2 linked regions of the Arabidopsis thaliana genome follow. The protein of the gene in region 1 interacts with the protein of each later gene in a pairwise test. Each region holds a gene or a part of one and is shown in the gene's direction. Other genes may lie near its edges. The genes, in order: GPX2 and DJ1A.

Region 1 (9,766 bases):
TTTATGTAACAAAATGGAAAGAGTTTTTTCCCCAAAGAAAATTATTATATGCTCCGTCCTTCAGTTCAAAAGTTGTAAGTTGTGCATCAGCAGAGGTTCTTCAGGCTTATCTCGCGTGGAGACAACAGGACTGTAAGACATTCTGACAACATAAATATTGTACTTGACACTTATTCTTGATTTCTTGTTTTTCCGGATATTAGTTCTACTTATTGGCGTGAATATCTTCGTGAATTAAGTGAAACCCATTTTTTGGTTGCAGGCCACGCCAACAATCAGTATGACACTTGTTTCTGGATGTTAGTTAAAAGTGGAAAGAGCGTAAGTGAAACCCAAGAGATTCTAAAGGTGTGTTATTCGTGCTTTTCTATGGCAGAGATCAATGTTTTTTTGTCTGCACTACGACTATAATTTTTTTTTTCTAATACAGATGTCAAAATGGCCCTTTACCTTCTTAAGCCAAGTTTCACGCTTAGTAATGATATTACATGGTTTGAACACACGATTTCTATTTCCATTGGATGCCTGCAGGATACACAAAAACAGCAGAAAAATGAGCTTCTCTTTCAGAAATTTGGTATCAATTACAAGACGCTTCCTGAATTGTTTCGCCAAGGATCTTGTCTTTTCAAGAAAAAGGTGATAATTTATATCTTTTGTTAGAAATTATATACAGAGCACTTGCTTTGCTATGTGTTGTGTATGTATTTAGACTTCCAGTTTTAAGTTGAGTCTCTAAGAATGTTAGTAACCTGAGTTTGTTGACAATATTGTTGATGCACATGTACGTTTAGGCTTATGCATTGTAATTTGTAAGTTTGAATTGTCTGAACCCTAGTAAAATCTAGCAATGTGTAGAAGACTATTACTTCAGCTTAGTTGATGTTCAGGTTTAAAACTGATGTATCTAGCTGCTCTTCTTGATGTTCATCATAAATTTGCGTGATGCTATGTAGCTAAGACTTATTGTAAATTTCCAATAACACACTTTCATTTAACTTGATTCAGGTGGAAGAAACTGTAAAGCATGACGAAAATGGCAATCCTGTAAAAAGATTGAGGAGAAAGGCTGTTTTTGTACATTCAGAGAATATTGCAGGAAGAAGCTTTTGGAATGAGCAGCCCTCTCTATATAATGATCTTGGCCACTTCACGAAAGACATTGGAAAAATTGAACCAGATTTTATTAGGTCGTTTCAGTTTGAGAACAAATTGTTACCTTTAACTTGGGTCGTGGTTAGGATTGATGGCTGTCACTTTCACAGGTAATTGTCTATAGCTTACCTTTATTTCGTAAAAGTTTGTCAGTCTTTTTACTGCATTGAAGCCTTAGACTAGTAAAATCCTTGCGCTCCATAGGATTCAGCTAGGCTAGCCTGTTCAGTTTTATTATGTTCTGTTGTGGTTGCATTTGTCTAGGGAATATTCTGATTATTGAATCTGAACTTGCATTTTCAGAAAGAAGTCATTTTGTTAGTGATTACTAGTCTTCTGTGTTGCAAATTACGACTCATGGAGCTTGCTTGGATTTTGATAGATTTTCTGACGTTCATGAATTTGAGAAGCCAAATGATGAGCAAGCTCTGAAACTTATGAATTCATGTGCAGTGGCTGTTCTCGAGGAGTTTGAGGATATTCACTTTGCCTATGGTGTCAGTGATGAGTATAGGTGTCCATCTCGCAACCTGTTTATCTCAGCTTTACATAATTTAGATATTAATTAAGTTCATCATCGATTACAGCTTTGTTTTGAAGAAAGAATCTGAGCTCTACAAAAGACAATCCAGGTTAAACTAAATTTCTCTTTTTCCTTACACTTTTGGCCGTATCTCCCTGATATCCTTAGTCTTAATACTTAGTATTGCATTACAGTAAGATAATATCTGCAGTCGCATCCTTCTTTACATCCACATATGTGTTACAATGGGGAGAATTTTTCCCTCACAAAGAATTGAAGTACCCTCCATCATTCGATGGACGAGCTGTATGCTATCCAACATACAATATTCTCTTGGATTATCTGGCGTGGAGACAAGTTGACTGTTAGTATAATAACACTGTGATAAATTATTTGGAATCGTCTATATCTTTGCAAAATTTTAGATGAGTAGTCTTATGTTTTCTTTGTTTTTCGTTTGGCAGGCCACATCAATAATCAGTACAATACATGTTTCTGGATGCTTGTTAAGTCTGGAAAAAACAAAACTCAATCCCAAGATTACTTAAAGGTACTTTGTTATAATGGATTGAAAAAAATTATTCTCAAGTAGTCAATGCTTAGAATGGTTCTTATCTTACTCTTTGTGAATGACATTCCCAGGGTACACAAACACGAGAGAAAAATGAGCTGCTTAGCCGTCAATTTGGAATTGAGTACAACTCATTACCTGTAATCTTTCGAATGGGTTCTTCGGTTTTCCGTCTAAAGGTTAGTATTGCCTTAACTTTAAATCTATGCATAGAAAGATTATGATACAGTGGACTGGCTGAGAAACTTTATAAGTGCCAAACTGGTTCTGCTCTTATCGTATCGTATGAATCAATTAAGTTACTCAAACCTTTGGCTGTTAACTCGTAAATGGCTAAATCCATATACCAAACCTGAAATGTAACTACCTGCCGAGGTTTCTTACTGTTTCTATCAAACTCATCAAGCAGTCGTGAAGATCTTCTTCCGTTGCAGAACTTGATATTTGTAGAGCTGTCTGAATATTCTTTTTCAGGAAGCTGAGAATGGAGTAGTTTCAGGGAAGAAACTGGAAGGAGAAGTGGTCGTGGATCATTGCAACATCATCGAACGCTGTTTCTGGGAAGAACACCTACACATTCTTAGCTACTCATAAACAGCTGCATTTTAGTATTTTACTTCACTTGTAAGACTAATTTATTGCAAATTCTTAATCTCCAATTAGCACAGCTTTACTTCTTTTCAACATGTGTTATACCTTAGTTTTTCACATGTATGTCAACCATTGTTAAGATTTTAGAAAAGTTATTGGTTTTGTATGTTAAATACATTTGTGGAAGACGAGAGAAGGGAGATAGATAGATATGTAAAACATTAAATTCACACCATACCTGTGCACCGACCAACTGCTAACTTCTCTTGCGTTACGTAAAAGTAACTTTATCCTCTCCATTTATTTTGTTAATGTATAATCACTAGAGACCAGTATTATTAATAATTTTCTATCATGTTGTTGAATAGTACTAGTAATTCAAATGTCTATTAAGTCGGTCCAACTACTTGATAAGACCTATAGACTAAAATTTTCAGGTCCGGTGGTTAGATTCTGAGATATGTTTTTGTTCTCATTCCATTTTAAATTCCGACTTTATGTACTTGTATATATTTGGTGAAAAATTTGTATATAACTTTTAAATTATTCAACCGAGCAAAAGTATACTTTTTTGTTTGTTTGCCACACATTGATTGATTTATTACTTTTAAGTATATCAATTTAACAGGGAAATATAACTGAATCTAGTAAATATAATAACTTTCTTGATTTGGGTCTCAAGTCTGAGAACCAAAAACCCAATGATATTTTGATAAAATACTATTTTTTACGTGACAACTTGCAGTAAATCAGTATCTATAAATTCTAGATGTTTTCCTATAATTTTCTTGCTTTTTGAACAAGCTATAATTAAGAAAAATCAGGTCAAACATTGGAAAGCATAATTGGCAGCGAATCCTATTACAGATTTTTTCCATTAATCATATCGTTAATATCTAAAATGAAAGTCAATTGTAGTGGTCGTTTTGGAAAATATGAAAGGTGGCAATTTGATATGTTTTTTTTTGTAGTGAAATTTATTTCCAATTACGTTAATATTTAAATAAATTCCGTGTAAATATTGATACTCGACACAACACGCAAAAAAAAAAAGAAAAAAAAAAAAAGAGTTATATATTTGAGATTTCTTGATTTTAAATAAGGAATTGAGTTCATGTACCAACTAATCAATGAAAGACAGAAATAAGAAAAATATAAAAATGAGAAGGGTAAGCAATCAATATGAAGTCGTGGATGCTTACCCCACCATTCGTCACAAGAGATTCGTCATTTAAAGCATTCTGATCTTATAACATTTATCAACCATATATATACACACAAAATATTTGTTAACAAAAAGATTTATATTTCTTCTCTTCTTTGTTCATAACTAAGAACTCAGAAAGAGACCAACGACACTGCAAATGGCGGATGAATCTCCAAAGTCTATCTACGACTTCACCGTCAAGGTTTTTCCTCTCAACGTTTTTCTTGCTTTTATTCATAAATTATCAGGGTTTTTTTTTTCATAACTATTATGATTAGTCTTAGATTCTTAATACACATAAACAGAAAGAGATTTTGTTTTGATCCGAAATTACGATACCGGAATTTCTAATGTTCGATCTCAGGCAAAAGAATATAGATGAACAATTTCAAGGTTTGTTATAAAAAGAAAACATATTATGTGTGTTTATATTTTATTCATGAACATGGCAGGATATCGGAGGTAACGATGTGAGTTTGGACCAATACAAAGGCAAAACTCTTTTGGTTGTAAACGTTGCTTCCAAATGGTAAAAATCCCTTTTCACTGTTTTTCATTTTTTTGTTGGTTAGAATTCATTGCCTAATTGTACAAGATAGTATTTGTGATCTAAGAAAGGAAGCAACGTTTGATTTCACTTTTTGGATTATTATGTTCAACTTTAAGTATTGGTTGTATGGCTTGTATGCTCATTGATATCTGTAAAAAAAAGTATTTGTGATCTACCAGATTAAAAAATATAATTGCAAGGATCTTGTGAAATTAGTACTTGTTCAATCCGGTTCAGTTTGGTTTGATTAGTACTTGTCCTTTTTTCTTAACCGCAACATAGGTTTGTTAAAATATAAACAGAGATTTCGAGTAATATTGGTCTTCGTTTGTTCAAATTTAAGATTTTGCTTAAAGTCAATCAAATAGATGAAATCAAAACTAAACTTCCTGATTAACTTGCAGTGGTCTGACGGATGCGAACTACAAGGAACTGAATGTTCTGTACGAGAAATACAAGGAGCAAGGTCTTTGATTTATATACTATAGCTAGCTCCCACAAAACTAAACCTGGTTTTAGTTAGGATTTTAATTCTTGTCACTATAACTAAATAAATGTAAAAAATGAGAATAGGGTTGGAGATATTAGCATTCCCGTGTAATCAGTTCTTAGGACAAGAACCAGGAAACAATGAAGAGATTCAACAAACTGTCTGCACCAGGTTCAAAGCTGAATTCCCCATCTTTGACAAGGTAGTTCATTTTTCTTTTTATTACACTTCTCTCTTTCATTGGTTAAATGTTTTACTAGTGACTGATCTTTACAACATTAAGGATATGTGACTTTCTGTAAGTAACTTAATGAGGAATGATGATTGTCTAATAGGGAAAGAAAAATAGTATATATAAATAGTTGACGGAAATGTTGACGGCAATGTAGGTGGATGTGAACGGTAAGAACACGGCACCATTATACAAGTACTTGAAAGCAGAGAAAGGAGGTTTGCTCATTGATGCTATCAAATGGAACTTCACCAAATTCTTGGTTTCTCCTGATGGCAAGGTCTTACAGAGATATTCTCCCAGAACCTCTCCTCTTCAATTCGAGGTACGTATACCATCCTGGTTTTCACCTAAACCGGAATCCATCCATACACAACCATCTTATTACGGTTTGTTATTCGGTTTATGCAGAAGGACATTCAAACTGCGTTGGGACAGGCCTCTTCTTAATCACCAGAAGAAGAAGTTTCAAGAACTTTCGTTTGGTCCAAATTATGATCTTAGAATCATCAACATTGCAAACTTATTTTCTTTGAATTCTATCATTCTTGTTTTAAATAATTGATGTATTCGATGTCTTTTCATGGGATGATATATCATATATTATCATGTGACTCTCGTTCAAACAAACCTCAAATCATAAAAAGTTGAGTAATAAATTCTATTGGGTCATTATTAGACATTTGTATACGTAAAAAGAACATGTGAAAGGATTTTTGCCCTATCGTACACGACACGTTTAAGTGTGTTCACAACTTATGACCACAAAAAGTTTCTGATTCTTTCCTAGCCACGGGACAAAAAGATAAGAATCACATGTAAAAGAACATAAAAGAAGGGTCATGTGCTTTCTTTGTTGACATCTTGTGATTGAAGCAAAACCTCATCATATAAGCCTAATTACCAATGATACAAAAACAAGATGAAGATCATGAAAGAACAGAAGATATCAAAACATGAACAGTTAGATCAATTACCTCAGCCAAAAACAGAGGTCTTCAAAAAAACAGTTGGAGATTGATTTCTGTGTCTAAATCTCATCACTGCATATGAGAGGACAAGAACCCTAATTCAGATGTCATATGTTAAGCAACCACATTGCACTCAATCACAACAGTCAGGAGAACTGTAGACAAAGAATTTGAAGTTTTTTTATTCACTTGACACAATTAAAATCATAAAGACTTAAGATTACTACAACACATAACATACATAGAATTTTAAAGTAAAAGCCAAACCAGTTTATCCACAGACACATTTGCAGGTCTATTCTCAGCGAACAATGGCAGAGACTTCATTCTTGCAAAGACGGTCTTTCTCTGGTTCAAAGATGAAAATCGATTCTAGTTCAGCTGCACAACCGTACGGTGCAAGCAACAGTTTGTGCCCAATATTTGAGTCTAGCTTTTACATCATCTGGATCATCACCTGAATCAAAAATTGCAACAATCAAACATTCAAGTCAAGAAAATGTTCTTCATAATCACAAGACTCAAATCTATCTCAGATTTAGAGATTTACCAGGGCTAGAGATCTTCCAATTTGCAATTGGAGCGGTCGTGGTCGGTGGTGGCGACGAATCATCTTCCTCCTGGGACTTGTGGTGGTTTTGTTGCTTATCATCTAAGAACTTCTGGCTCATGGAGTAACAAAGCTCTAACGCAGGCAAAGTGTTGCAAAGCTCAGGGATCTCATCGTAACTAAAACCAAACCCTAGATCTAAACAACCTTTAAGCTCCTCAAGATCATCATCCGTCAAACTCTTGGCTCTCGTCAAATCATCTTGATCATCCAACGCGTATCCCTCAAGCAACACTTGGCTCTTCTTCTTCTCCAGCTTCTTCCTACTCTCTCCGGCGAAATAGCCTCCTCCTCTGCCGCCAGAATCTCCAATCGCGGCCCACGTTTCTTGGATTCCCCCGTCGCCACCGTCGTGGTGTTCTGGTAAGGTTGTGTTCGATATATCATCAGCATTTGCTGGTTTGTTCTCTTGGACAGAGTGTGTCTTCCATGCAGGTGGATGTGATGATTCGATGTGAATACAAGCCATTGGTTTTTCTCTCTGTGATTGTTTTTTGTTATCGGATATAACATATTGAGTGGTGAGGAAAGATTATTATATAAAGGAGATGGTTTCTTTCTTAGAAAAGTGGCGACGTAGAAGCATCAATTATTGCATATATGCCATCTTTGTTGTGGGGCCATATGCAAACGAATCAATGATTCCATGAAACGTGTGTTCGAGAAACATTGGGTTTCCATTTTGGGATTCGTCTCGGTTTGTCTTTCAAGTTTCAACTTCTATTTAATTTATGGACATCTATTTTACTAATAATAATGTTGCATAAACATTGAATCACATCGAGAAACATAAAGTATTGTTGTGAAAATTTGTATACTACTTAATTGGAAGGAGAAAACAAAGTGTATTCAAATGAACATGAGAAATTATATTCTGATATTAAAAAGTGTATTGCAGAAGAGATCACTAGTAATCCCATTTATTTACATGATATAAAATTGAATTGCGACCTGAGAAGACATGAAGTTGACATCTTCTTCATAACATTGTTTACAACATCAAGCAATGTTGTCATTGGTCATCAAGAAATGTTAAAATCGTCCCATTAATTTATAAAAACTTAAAAAGTGTAAATTTTCAAATTGTTTTTTTTTCAACTTATCAATATTGGATTTATCTAAAGAAAACTATGCACGGAGTCGCCGCTGGCCACACGAACAGAAGAAGTATGGCCTACTTCAGAGAGTTTGATTTTGGTTTCAGATATTGGTATAAATTATTTTTCTAGACACTTGTTCTAACTGTCTCTAGATTCGTGTTTAGTAAGTTAAGTATCTCATGCTGGAACATGTTATAGTATGTTGTTAAATGTTATCCATATCATATGAAAGAACAGAATTTATTAGTTTTTTTTTGTGGTTCAGGTATTTATAAACATGTTAATCTTTTTTTCTTTTGGGTTAATGTTAAATTTTAATAAATATAGCAATCTTAATATGACTTGTTAGCAAGAAAACGACAAAACACTCTCAGCTTAAGTTTAGGTCATTTTCTTAAACCAGAATTCAGAATTGGAGTTCAGTTGGAATCAAGATATGTTGGTTTAATTTGTTTGTTTCTTTATCGATTTGTTTTTTCACATTATCAATTCTTAAACGCTAAACAAAAACGTTTGCTTTTCTATTTTCCTTTGCTCGACCAACGAAATTTATTTTCTTTTGACCACATTGTTTTTCAGTTTTGTGAAAAGCTCATCAATATCTTAACAAAATCTTTATTTAGACTATAAGGTTCAAAGCTCTTGACTTCATCCATTTGTTACACACTTTAAAAGAAAAACAACCTCACAAAGCCAGCTTGGTAACAAAAAAAAAGTCACCTTATAAATACACCACAAAAACAACACATTTCTTCAAATCTACTAAAAAACAAAAACCAAAACAAAAAATGTCGACTTCTAAAGCCATAACCTTAACTCTCTTCATCACAACAACATTACTAGCGTCCTGCGACGCAGCCGCAAATGCAACAACGAAACCGCTCTTCCCAGCGATTCTAATCTTCGGCGATTCAACCGTCGACACAGGCAACAACAACTACCCTTTACCAACAATCTTCAGAGCTGAACACTTTCCTTACGGCATGGATCTTCCAGACGGAAAAGCTAACGGAAGATTCTCAAACGGAAAACTTATCTCCGACATAATCGCAACCAAACTCAACATCAAAGAGTTTATTCCTCCTTTCTTACAACCAAATCTCTCCGACCAAGACATTCTAACCGGAGTCTGTTTCGCATCAGCTGGTGCGGTTACGACGACCTAACCAGTCTCTCGACACAAGCCATTCGTGTCTCGGAACAACCAAACATGTTCAAGAGTTACATTGCTCGTCTCAAAGGTATCGTGGGAGACAAGAAAGCGATGGAGATCATAAACAATGCTTTCGTGGTTGTGAGTGCAGGGCCTAATGATTTCATTTTGAACTATTACGATATTCCCTCAAGGCGTCTCGAGTATCCTTTCATTTCTGGTTACCAAGATTTTATTCTTAAGAGGCTTGAAAATTTCGTGCGGGTAACGTCTAAAATATTTCTTCATATATATATTACCACAATTAGGGTTTTGGAACAGACTATAGTGACTGAAAGTTTTATGATAATTTGTTTGTTTTGTTAATCTCTCCGGTGTATATGCAGGAGCTTTACAGTTTAGGTGTCCGGAATGTTTTGGTTGGAGGTTTACCGCCAATGGGGTGTTTACCGATCCATATGACTGCTAAATTCCGCAACATTTTTAGATTCTGCTTGGAACACCATAACAAAGACTCTGTTTTGTACAATGAGAAACTTCAGAAGCTCTTGCCCCAAATCGAAGCATCTCTTCCAGGAAGCAAATTCCTTTACGCCGATGTCTATAATCCTAT
Region 2 (10,323 bases), on another chromosome or scaffold:
AAGGCTCTAAGGCACTCCACCAAAGTGCCCGTGTGTTAGCAAGATTTAAATTTTTCATGTTCTCCTCGATGTCCAACAGTGTAAGAGAGAGATCGGACCAGAAGTCATTAATACCAGTCCATTTCTTAGTACCAGTATCCATTAACTTACGATCAGCTAATAGGATCCCACCCAATGCTTTCCAAGCTGACCCAAATTCACGAAATTTCCGTCCCTCTGGCGATATGTAAAATGTGTCTACATGTTTCCTACCTGCTGATCTTTCGCGCTTCTCAATTTTCCATCTGGCAGCAGTTAGAACCTTACAGACATACTTGTAGAGAAGAGGACGGGGGTCCTCTTTAGGATCAATCTTTAGGCAGGTTTTAGACATAATTAACTCATTAGGAGATACTTTAGATCCGTTGTTCAACTGTAGCGGGAAGCAAGCCTTCTCACTATGCGGCGTAGAAGCACCTACAGAGATCATTCTGGTTGCGAAGCTCTCCTGAGAAACAGGAGAGGCAATAGCTTTAAATTCCTTTCCATCGCATTTGTCCAAGTTTAGTGACTTACACTTTCCAGACACAATGCCACCCAGATAAACTTCTCTTCCCTTTACTATGCTGTGCTTCAACAAATATGAGCTAGTTGAAACACCCTTGTTAGATGATTCAACTAAATGGAGAGGTATCGTCTCTCTAGCTATGTCCGAAGTTGGAAAACCATGCAAAGCAGATCCCTTTTCGTCCCTTGCATCCAAATGCTTATTACCTGAAAGCTTCACTCTCTTAGCTTTAGTGTTAAAATCTGAACCATCTCTTGAAGCAGATGCCTCAAAACCTTGTGGACATGCATATCCACTAGTTACCACAGAGTTGGAACTCAGAGAGGAATTGACATTCTTACTGGAATCACATTCGAAGTTAATGGCTCCAGTAACGAGACATCTTTTAGTAGTATTTCCAGGATCACTTCCAAAGAAAACTTCTCTGAATATCTGATGATCCTCATATGACCCTTCAAAGCAGTCACCTCCTAACATCTCAATCTCAGCTCCGGGAAGCATCTCCACAAACTAACTGCATATTCCACTTCACCTTAACTTAAAAGGAAGGTTGTAGATAGATACCTGCAATTATATAAAGTAATGAATAAACTCACAGAACCCAAAAGTTTGGAACTCGACATCCTAATCCAAAACACATACCCATAAGCGGAAGCGGATTCAAAACAAGATAAAATCAGAGATCCTTCTAGAAAGGCCAAAACTTTGAAGCCTAGAGCAAAACGATAGACCAGATTTCATGAAATTGAGATGTTATAATGACTAATTACATCCAAAAAGAAAGCTCAAAAATTGGGAAATGCAGGACATTACCAGCATGCAGAATGAAATCAGAGCTGTGAAATCGGAGAAATGGCTTCTTCTCACTGAAATAGACTCATTTCGTCGCCCTTATCCTCTCCAACCGCAAGTGGGAAACGCATTTTCATTCCATTTCACGTTCTCTGCACTCACACACTCTCTCTCCTTGATCTCTATCTCACACACAGAAAGAACAACAATTTGTCTATCTTTTTAGCTTTTTCTATAATTGTGGAAGAAACCCACCTCTGATTCGGTGTTAAATCTCTCAACCAAAATTCATCAGATAGATAAATTCTGACGAACTTTTTTTCACCTCTCTGAATCTGCCTCTATCACTTTGTTGTGCACAGTGTGTGTATACTTATTATTGGCTATTTCTTTCTCTTCTCGTTTTTTTTCTTTTTTTCTTTTCTATAAATTGTGTGCTGTCACCAAAAAGGCATCTTCGTGTTTTTATTTTATTTTTCCTTCGTTATACTGAAAAAGTCATTCTTCATTTTTCACCTTAAGATTCTGTCTCCTCTCTGATAACAACGGACCAGCAGTTATAGTATATGGAGTACTTAAATTCGTTTAATTACACAAATTAAAACCCAAATATTCGTCGTTTTTTTCTTCTGTTATCAAATTCTTAATCCTGTTAATGACGATCGTATCACTATAAGCCAATATTAATGACTATGGTTTTAAGTTCTTGACAAAGTTTTTTTTTACTAAATTCGCCACAGACAAAAACTGTTCTGACAAAAATAACAGACAAACTAAAATGAAAAAAAAGGTTAGCATATTTAATTGCCAGGTTTCTAACTGTTCTTCTGTTGTCGTTTTAAATCATTTCAGCTTATGTTTTTGTCCTTTAAAATTCAGTCATCACCGATTGTAACAGGTTTTGTCTTAATATGTATAATCAATATCTGTTAAGTGGATTGGATGCTTTGTAATTTGCGCGGGGAATCTTTACGTGTCTTAACGATAACAAATACTGTACTATCAAATAGGTGCATGCGATGATGGACATAAGTCGTATTTTAACCTATTTTGTTGTGTGAACAGATTAGTTATTGCATGTTTTGTATTAACTATATATAGGAATACGGCTCTGAATCTTTGTTTCTTCTTATTCGATTTTGATATATGAAAATTCCAAAAAGTACATGTACCAGTACGATGAAAACGACTGTGTTATGTGAAAGTATTTGTTTTTAAAAAAAAAAATATTTAGAGGGGATCAATTCTAGATACTTTTTTCATTTTTAAGGTTTAACTATGGTTAAAAAGAAACGATTCTTTTTTAAAAGGGTAGATGGTAGACCTCATTTGCTAATTTTGATCCACATAAGTCAATAACAAATAATTCGGCTCGCTTGCGAAGCTAATGCATGAGCCACGTGTTTTGCTTTATATTTGGCTTTCTGTATTGAGACATTCTTCTTCATCCTAATTGTGAATGGAATATGTTGGACCCAACGAAGCCATCAAACATGGTTAAAACACACAAACATGTGATTTAATCTAGTTTAATTTCGTCTATTACAATATAAGTGAATTTTGACACACATCCTTGGATTATATCTAAAACGTTAAGTTTGTTAAAAACACTTTGGACCGGATAATGGGTATTGATCATTTATTGTTTGTTGCATGTTGGGTTAGAAATTAGAGATCATAACAAAAATCATGATTTCAGGCTGTCCATTTTGAAAAATGTGTGTGTTTGTGTTAATTTGAATACACCGATTCATCCAAAAACCATCTGAACAGTCTCTTAATTAGTTTACCGTGTATATATATCATATTTATGGGATCATATTTGGTTAAGTTTAACTAGTAGTTTCAAATTTCGCGTTAATAGCTATTTGAAAGGGTAGGAGTACTTTTTCGACCGGTTAACACTCCCATATAAAGCCCATAAATTATTGGAACGCTACAAAATTAACAAAACATCTCTTCAGAAGTTCGTCCGGTTTACTCTACTACAAAGTACATGTATCAAAAACGACAACACGTGCTTCCACAAAATTAAGAACCAGGACGTGATGTCGTTGTTGTAATACTTTTTTCTCGCCAACTTCACGCCGTCTTAGTTTACCGAAACCAAAGTGGCTTTTTCTGATTTTATCCAATACAATGACGTGGAAAGACTCAAAAGAAGCTTTCGCCACGTTCCACCAATGAATGTTCGACACGTATCGTCGAGTTTCTTTTTCTTTATGCTTACGTCATCGCACACGTCTATCTTCTTTTGGTTAAAGTGATAAAAAGGAAAGTCGTAAATGGCTTCGTCACTGAGTCTTTCCTACTATTTTAACCCCATTAGTGACACTCCTTTCTTCTCCACTACACTCCATTTCTCTTTCTTCTTGACTCGACCATCGTTTCTCTAATCTCCGCAACTATGGCTTCATTTACGAAAACGGTGTGTGGGGTTTCACGATCCCGAGATCATACTTTTTTCCCTCCTCGTACGTAACGATTTTTTTTTGTGATTATTAATCCAAGGTTTTTTGGCGTCTCTTTTAGGTTTTGATCCCTATTGCGCACGGTACGGAGCCTCTAGAAGCGGTGGCGATGATTACCGTGTTGCGTCGAGGTGGTGCTGACGTGACGGTGGCGTCTGTTGAGACTCAGGTTGGCGTTGATGCTTGTCATGGCATCAAGATGGTCGCTGATACTCTTCTCTCTGATATTACCGACTCTGTTTTCGACCTTATTGTGCTCCCCGTAAGTCTCTCTGCTGATTTAACATTGTCCATTTGTTTTGTTTCTTTGTGTGTAATCTAAGAACTAAGGACAGCCAATAAGTGGATCGATCAATTATCAATTAGCTCACTTAACTAAAGTTTCGAAAGTGATGTTTATAGTTCCTACTAAGAACGATGGTTTTTAGATGTATCTGTTGCAACTTTTGTTCTCTGAAACAACTTCATAGATTCTTGTTTTCTGAAAGATTTCATAATTGTGTTGCTGATATACTTTTTGATATGATTGGGAAAAGGGAGGGCTTCCCGGTGGCGAGACTCTTAAAAACTGTAAATCTTTAGAGAACATGGTCAAGAAACAAGACTCTGATGGCCGACTTAACGCAGCTATATGTTGTGCTCCTGCCTTGGCTCTTGGTACTTGGGGTCTACTAGAAGGCAAGAAAGTAAGTCAGAAGTGATCAGTATATTTCCAAGGGCGTTTATTTATCTTTTTTTCAGGCCTTGTAATGTCTTGTTATTACATGGGGTTTCTTGCAGGCAACGGGTTACCCTGTTTTTATGGAGAAACTTGCGGCTACTTGTGCAACTGCTGTTGAGTCAAGAGTGCAAATTGATGGAAGAATAGTGACCAGTCGTGGACCAGGAACCACCATTGAATTCTCCATCACGCTTATAGAGCAGTTGTTTGGGAAAGAAAAAGCTGATGAAGTCTCCAGTATCTTGGTATGTTTTGTCTCTGCCTCTTTTATCAACCGCTGTGGTACGTGTTCATGTCACCTCCTCGTAGACTTACTTGTTATCCTTTTGAAATCAGCTGCTTCGTCCTAACCCTGGTGAGGAGTTTACTTTTACTGAGCTTAACCAAACAAACTGGTCATTTGAAGATACACCACAGGTAAATGTTCAGTTGCCTCTCCACTTGGCCCTTTTAACATTTTTCCAAGACAGGCTTTGTTTGATCCGTTATACAGATTCCTAGGAACATGCTGTGTTGTAAAGCTTTTGTCTTTCTTGATCAATAGTCTTTTATGAGTCAGAGAGATAATGTTTTCCCTTTTCAGATTCTCGTACCCATTGCAGAGGAGTCAGAGGAAATTGAAGCTATAGCGCTTGTAGATATCCTGAGGCGGGCAAAAGCAAATGTAGTGATTGCTGCAGTTGGTAACAGTTTGGAAGTTGAAGGATCTCGCAAAGCTAAGCTAGTAGCAGAAGTTCTTCTTGATGAGGTTGCAGAGAAGTCGTTTGATCTGATTGTGTTACCTGTGAGTATTGCTAACTTCCAAAATGTGAATATACTATTTAGTCTTAAATTAAATTTTAATATTCTATGATGACAAATAACCAAAAACATAATCCAACTTCTTTGATGAACTACAGGGCGGTCTTAACGGTGCTCAAAGATTCGCAAGCTGCGAGAAGCTAGTTAATATGTTAAGGAAACAGGCAGAAGCAAACAAACCATATGGAGGAATCTGCGCATCGCCTGCTTACGTCTTCGAGCCTAATGGTTTACTCAAGGTGCATAAATCAAACAGTACTAGAATTGTAGTTTCTTGTTCTATCTTTTAAGTCATTAAACTGAGATATAAGAGACATGTTTTGTATAGGGTAAGAAGGCTACTACTCACCCAGTGGTGAGCGACAAACTTTCGGACAAGAGTCACATTGAGCACAGAGTCGTGGTAGATGGAAATGTCATAACAAGCAGAGCTCCAGGGACTGCAATGGAGTTTTCACTTGCCATTGTCGAAAAGTTTTACGGGCGAGAGAAAGCTCTTCAGCTCGGAAAGGCAACACTTGTGTGATTTCAAACAATGAAAGTATGAGAGTGGCTTGAATAAAAAGAAGGCTTTGCCTTTTAGTTATCTCTCTCCATTAGTAATTACTTACTTTATGATATATGACATATGAGCTTGGCTTAGTGATTGGTGTGTAACTTTATGCCTTTATAAATGAATAAACGAGATTTTTCTATGTATGTTGCCGATATTTTCTTTAAACCTCTGCAAGAGCTAGAGGGTGTGCTGGAGAAAAAAATTATTTTATGGAGAAAGATATTTTAGTCACACATTTTCACCAAATTGACCTTACAATAACTCTAAAATACGAATTTGCCCCTATGTTTAGCTTTGGAATATTTCATATTTGTAAACCATTTAATAATATGATTATTACCAATTTAGTGAAAATAAAATCTTCAGTCTTCTCTTCTTGTATAAAAATAGCTTTTTTATCATTTGAAAACAGAGTAATGTCACTAATTTCTTGGCGAAAATGTGTTTATTTGTAACTTAAGGTAAAATAGGGGCAATTTTGTTGAATCTGATAAGATCAGGGGGTAGTACCGTAGATTTCGCTGTCCAGTTCAGTTATGAAATACCTAAAATGCCCTCGACTCATAATCTACTATTAAACCCTCATAAAACCCTTGATTTCATTTCTAGCTCATCTGTTTTCACACTCTCTCCTAGGGTTTTATCTGCGAAGCCCAATCTAGAGCTTCCATGGCGACGCATACCATTTCTCGATCCATTCTTTGCCGACCGGCGAAATCTCTTTCGTTTCTGTTCACGCGATCCTTTGCTTCATCTGCTCCTCTCGCCAAATCTCCGGCGTCTTCTCTGCTCAGCCGGTCCCGTCCTCTGGTCGCCGCTTTTTCCTCCGTTTTCCGTGGCGGCCTTGTGTCTGTCAAAGGTCTCTCGACGCAGGCTACATCGTCTTCTCTGAACGACCCGAATCCCAACTGGTCGAACAGGCCACCTAAGGAGACGATCCTGCTCGATGGTTGCGATTTCGAGCACTGGCTTGTCGTCGTGGAGCCACCTCAGGGTGAGCCTACTAGAGATGAAATCATTGATAGCTACATCAAAACCCTAGCTCAGATTGTTGGCAGGTAAATCCCCAATTCAAAACTCTCTCTCTCTCTCTCTCTCTCTGTGTATGTTCTTCTAGGGATTTTAGGTTAAATAAGTGAGAAATCCACTACTGTGTATGACGGATCTGTGTGTTTACTTAGATCATTTTTGGAGCTGTAACATGATATATCTCGTTTTGGACATTTCAGTGAAGACGAAGCTAGGATGAAGATCTACTCGGTTTCAACTAGGTGCTACTATGCTTTTGGGGCACTTGTGTCAGAAGATCTTTCTCACAAGTTAAAAGGTTAACTCTTGCCTTTGTTGGGTTTTAGTTTTCCTCATTTCTGTGTTATAATCTGCCTTCTAACTTTCTTCTGTAACTCTCCAGAGTTGTCAAATGTGCGCTGGGTTCTTCCTGACTCTTACCTGGATGTGAGGAACAAAGACTATGGAGGTAGGCTTAAGTGTATTATCTGTATCATAACCTGGGTTTGAAATTGGGGTAGTTGCTTTGCTCGTCCATTATACTTTTGCTGGGTTTGAAATTTTCAAGGGAAACTACCTGTTGCTAGTCTTCGCTCTGTGGACTCGTTACTTGCTCCATGCTTTTGTGTTAGATTGACACATGGGGCGACTTCTATTTATAGTTAATTAACATTGTGGGTGCATCTGTTAGATTTGATTTAGTGATATCTATTGTGAGACTGGTGTTGTAGAAGTCGCAGTGATGTTGCTTTGGTGAGAGTTTAAATCTTTCTGGTGATCCTATTAGAGAGTTAGTTTGATGCGTTTTTGTATATATTGACTTTCAGGGGAACCTTTCATCGATGGGAAGGCTGTTCCTTATGATCCTAAGTACCACGAGGAGTGGATAAGGAACAATGCTAGAGCAAATGAAAGGAACAGACGCAATGACCGTCCTCGCAACAATGATAGAAGCAGAAACTTTGAGAGGAGAAGAGAGAACATGGCAGGAGGCCCTCCTCCTCAACGTCCTCCCATGGGAGGCCCTCCTCCTCCTCCGCACATCGGTGGCTCTGCACCTCCTCCGCCTCATATGGGTGGCTCTGCACCTCCTCCACCTCACATGGGGCAGAACTATGGACCACCACCACCAAACAACATGGGAGGACCAAGGCATCCACCACCTTATGGAGCACCACCGCAAAACAACATGGGAGGACCGAGGCCACCTCAGAACTATGGAGGAACACCACCTCCCAACTATGGAGGAGCACCACCAGCAAACAACATGGGAGGAGCACCACCACCAAACTATGGAGGAGGACCACCACCTCAATATGGAGCAGTACCACCACCTCAATACGGAGGAGCACCCCCACAGAACAACAACTACCAGCAGCAGGGTAGTGGAATGCAGCAGCCACAGTACCAGAACAACTACCCACCTAACCGGGATGGCAGTGGCAACCCCTACCAGGGTTAAAGCAGTTGAAGCAGTCGTGGGTTTCCTTTTTAATCATGCATTCTGGGCTGTGTATAGATAATTTGAGGAAGAGAGAGTGCAGTAGCAAGACTTTAAAACTCCTTTTATCTCGAGTGTTTATCAGTCTGGGATTATGTGAGAGAGAATAGCCTAAGTTACTGTGGCATGGTTAGAACTTTTCACTCTTGCGTTTCTTTTTAGTAGTTTATATCCTAAATCGATCTCAAGTTCTTCCTTGTGATGCTTGCTACTCTTATGTCCACTCCTGGTTCTGCATTAAACGGGATTTAGTAACATGTCTCCCACAGGCTATTGTTTTGTGTCTTTCTTTGGCTTCTTCCTAGTCTTAATTTCTAATTCCCCAATCATGTTTACATGGGAATGGGATACTCATATTATAACAGGAAGAATGACAAATGTCATCAATATCATATTTCTTTCGACAAACTTGACAGAACACACAATTTGATGATGAGAGAGAGAAGCGGGTGTGAAGTAACAAGATGGGCTTTGTGTTCTTTATCCCGGCCCATCATTCTAAATTTCAGCCCAAAATGGAAAATCTCGTAACCGTATAAAGCCCTCGCTTCCCTCATATGTTTTTCCGCCGTCACATATTTTCCCCTCTTTTTTTTCGTGTCAGATTCGCTTTCTCTACGGCTGGACTAGAAGGATTAGGGATTTACCGGTGAAAGAATAACTCCAGAGATAAATCTGTAACCATGGATATGATGAAGAAGCGTAAGCTCGATGAGAACGGTAACGGACTCAATACCAACGGTGGCGGAACCATTGGTCCAACTCGATTGTCGCCGCAAGACGCGAGGAAGATTATCGAGCGATTCACCACTGATCAGCTGCTCGACTTATTGCAAGAGGCTATCGTACGCCATCCCGACGTGCTTGAATCTGTCCGATTAACCGCCGACTCTGATATCTCGCAGCGGAAGCTATTCATCCGTGGTCTCGCGGCGGATACTACTACGGAAGGTCTCCGTTCGCTTTTTTCCAGTTACGGAGATCTAGAAGAAGCTATTGTGATCCTTGACAAGGTCACTGGGAAATCGAAAGGGTATGGTTTCGTCACTTTTATGCACGTTGATGGAGCTTTACTAGCTCTGAAAGAACCATCTAAGAAAATTGATGGGCGTGTTACAGTAACGCAGCTCGCGGCATCTGGAAATCAAGGTACGGGTTCCCAGATTGCAGATATATCAATGAGGAAGATCTATGTGGCGAATGTTCCTTTTGATATGCCGGCGGATAGGCTATTGAATCACTTTATGGCTTATGGAGATGTTGAGGAAGGTCCTTTGGGTTTTGATAAGGTTACTGGTAAATCTAGAGGCTTTGCATTGTTTGTCTACAAGACAGCGGAAGGTGCGCAGGCTGCTCTTGCTGATCCGGTGAAGGTGATTGATGGAAAACATTTGAATTGTAAGTTGGCTGTTGATGGTAAGAAAGGAGGGAAGCCTGGAATGCCACAAGCTCAAGATGGTGGTTCTGGTCATGGACACGTTCATGGTGAGGGAATGGGAATGGTGCGTCCTGCAGGACCTTATGGTGCAGCTGGTGGTATCAGTGCTTATGGTGGGTACTCTGGAGGACCACCAGCGCATCACATGAATTCCACACACTCCTCAATGGGTGTTGGTTCTGCTGGGTATGGTGGACACTATGGTGGATATGGAGGTCCAGGTGGTACTGGCGTCTACGGTGGACTTGGCGGTGGGTATGGTGGGCCTGGTACTGGAAGTGGGCAGTATAGAATGCCACCAAGTTCGATGCCTGGTGGTGGTGGTTATCCCGAGAGTGGGCATTACGGTCTTTCATCATCTGCTGGGTATCCTGGACAGCATCATCAGGCTGTTGGAACGTCCCCTGTGCCAAGAGTTCCTCATGGCGGAATGTACCCCAACGGTCCACCAAACTACTGAAAAGGTGCGGTTGTTCTCCCTTGTATAT

Evidence for each region.
Region 2: the proteins of GPX2 (region 1) and DJ1A interact in a protein complementation assay, tested with the Arabidopsis thaliana proteins (one study listed by BioGRID).

Annotation. Positions count from the first base shown.
Region 1 is NC_003071.7:13,434,214-13,443,979, reverse strand, and holds GPX2 (glutathione peroxidase 2), read left to right. Parts: upstream 1-4,056; 5' UTR 4,057-4,204; coding exon 4,205-4,249; exon of another isoform or gene 4,250-4,499; coding exon 4,500-4,576; intron 4,577-5,001; coding exon 5,002-5,063; intron 5,064-5,170; coding exon 5,171-5,289; intron 5,290-5,476; coding exon 5,477-5,644; intron 5,645-5,730; coding exon 5,731-5,769; 3' UTR 5,770-6,006; downstream 6,007-9,766. Other genes in the region: AT2G31580 (tRNAHis guanylyltransferase), read left to right, coding at 1-132, 263-348, 532-639, 1,009-1,265, 1,538-1,669, 1,743-1,787, 1,873-2,042, 2,143-2,228 and 2 more; AT2G31560 (signal transducer/transcription protein, putative (DUF1685)), read right to left, coding at 6,668-6,747, 6,841-7,369; AT2G31550 (SGNH hydrolase-type esterase superfamily protein), read left to right, coding at 9,211-9,417, 9,540-9,766. UniProt on the Arabidopsis thaliana protein: May constitute a glutathione peroxidase-like protective system against oxidative stresses.
Region 2 is NC_003074.8:5,043,764-5,054,086, forward strand, and holds DJ1A (Class I glutamine amidotransferase-like superfamily protein), read left to right. Parts: upstream 1-3,612; 5' UTR 3,613-3,746; coding exon 3,747-3,767; exon of another isoform or gene 3,768-3,769; intron 3,770-3,825; exon of another isoform or gene 3,826-3,871; coding exon 3,872-4,072; intron 4,073-4,346; coding exon 4,347-4,496; intron 4,497-4,590; coding exon 4,591-4,776; intron 4,777-4,867; coding exon 4,868-4,948; intron 4,949-5,114; coding exon 5,115-5,315; intron 5,316-5,430; coding exon 5,431-5,571; intron 5,572-5,660; coding exon 5,661-5,858; 3' UTR 5,859-6,208; downstream 6,209-10,323. Other genes in the region: ROS4 (Acyl-CoA N-acyltransferase with RING/FYVE/PHD-type zinc finger protein), read right to left, coding at 1-1,048; AT3G14981 (uncharacterized protein), read left to right, coding at 1,347-1,565; RIP1 (cobalt ion binding protein), read left to right, coding at 6,558-6,946, 7,118-7,215, 7,300-7,365, 7,724-8,358; AT3G15010 (RNA-binding (RRM/RBD/RNP motifs) family protein), read left to right, coding at 9,081-10,295. UniProt on the Arabidopsis thaliana protein: Involved in oxidative stress response. Confers protection against diverse stresses by binding both CSD1 and GPX2 and mediating the cytosolic activation of the Cu-Zn-dependent superoxide dismutase activity of CSD1.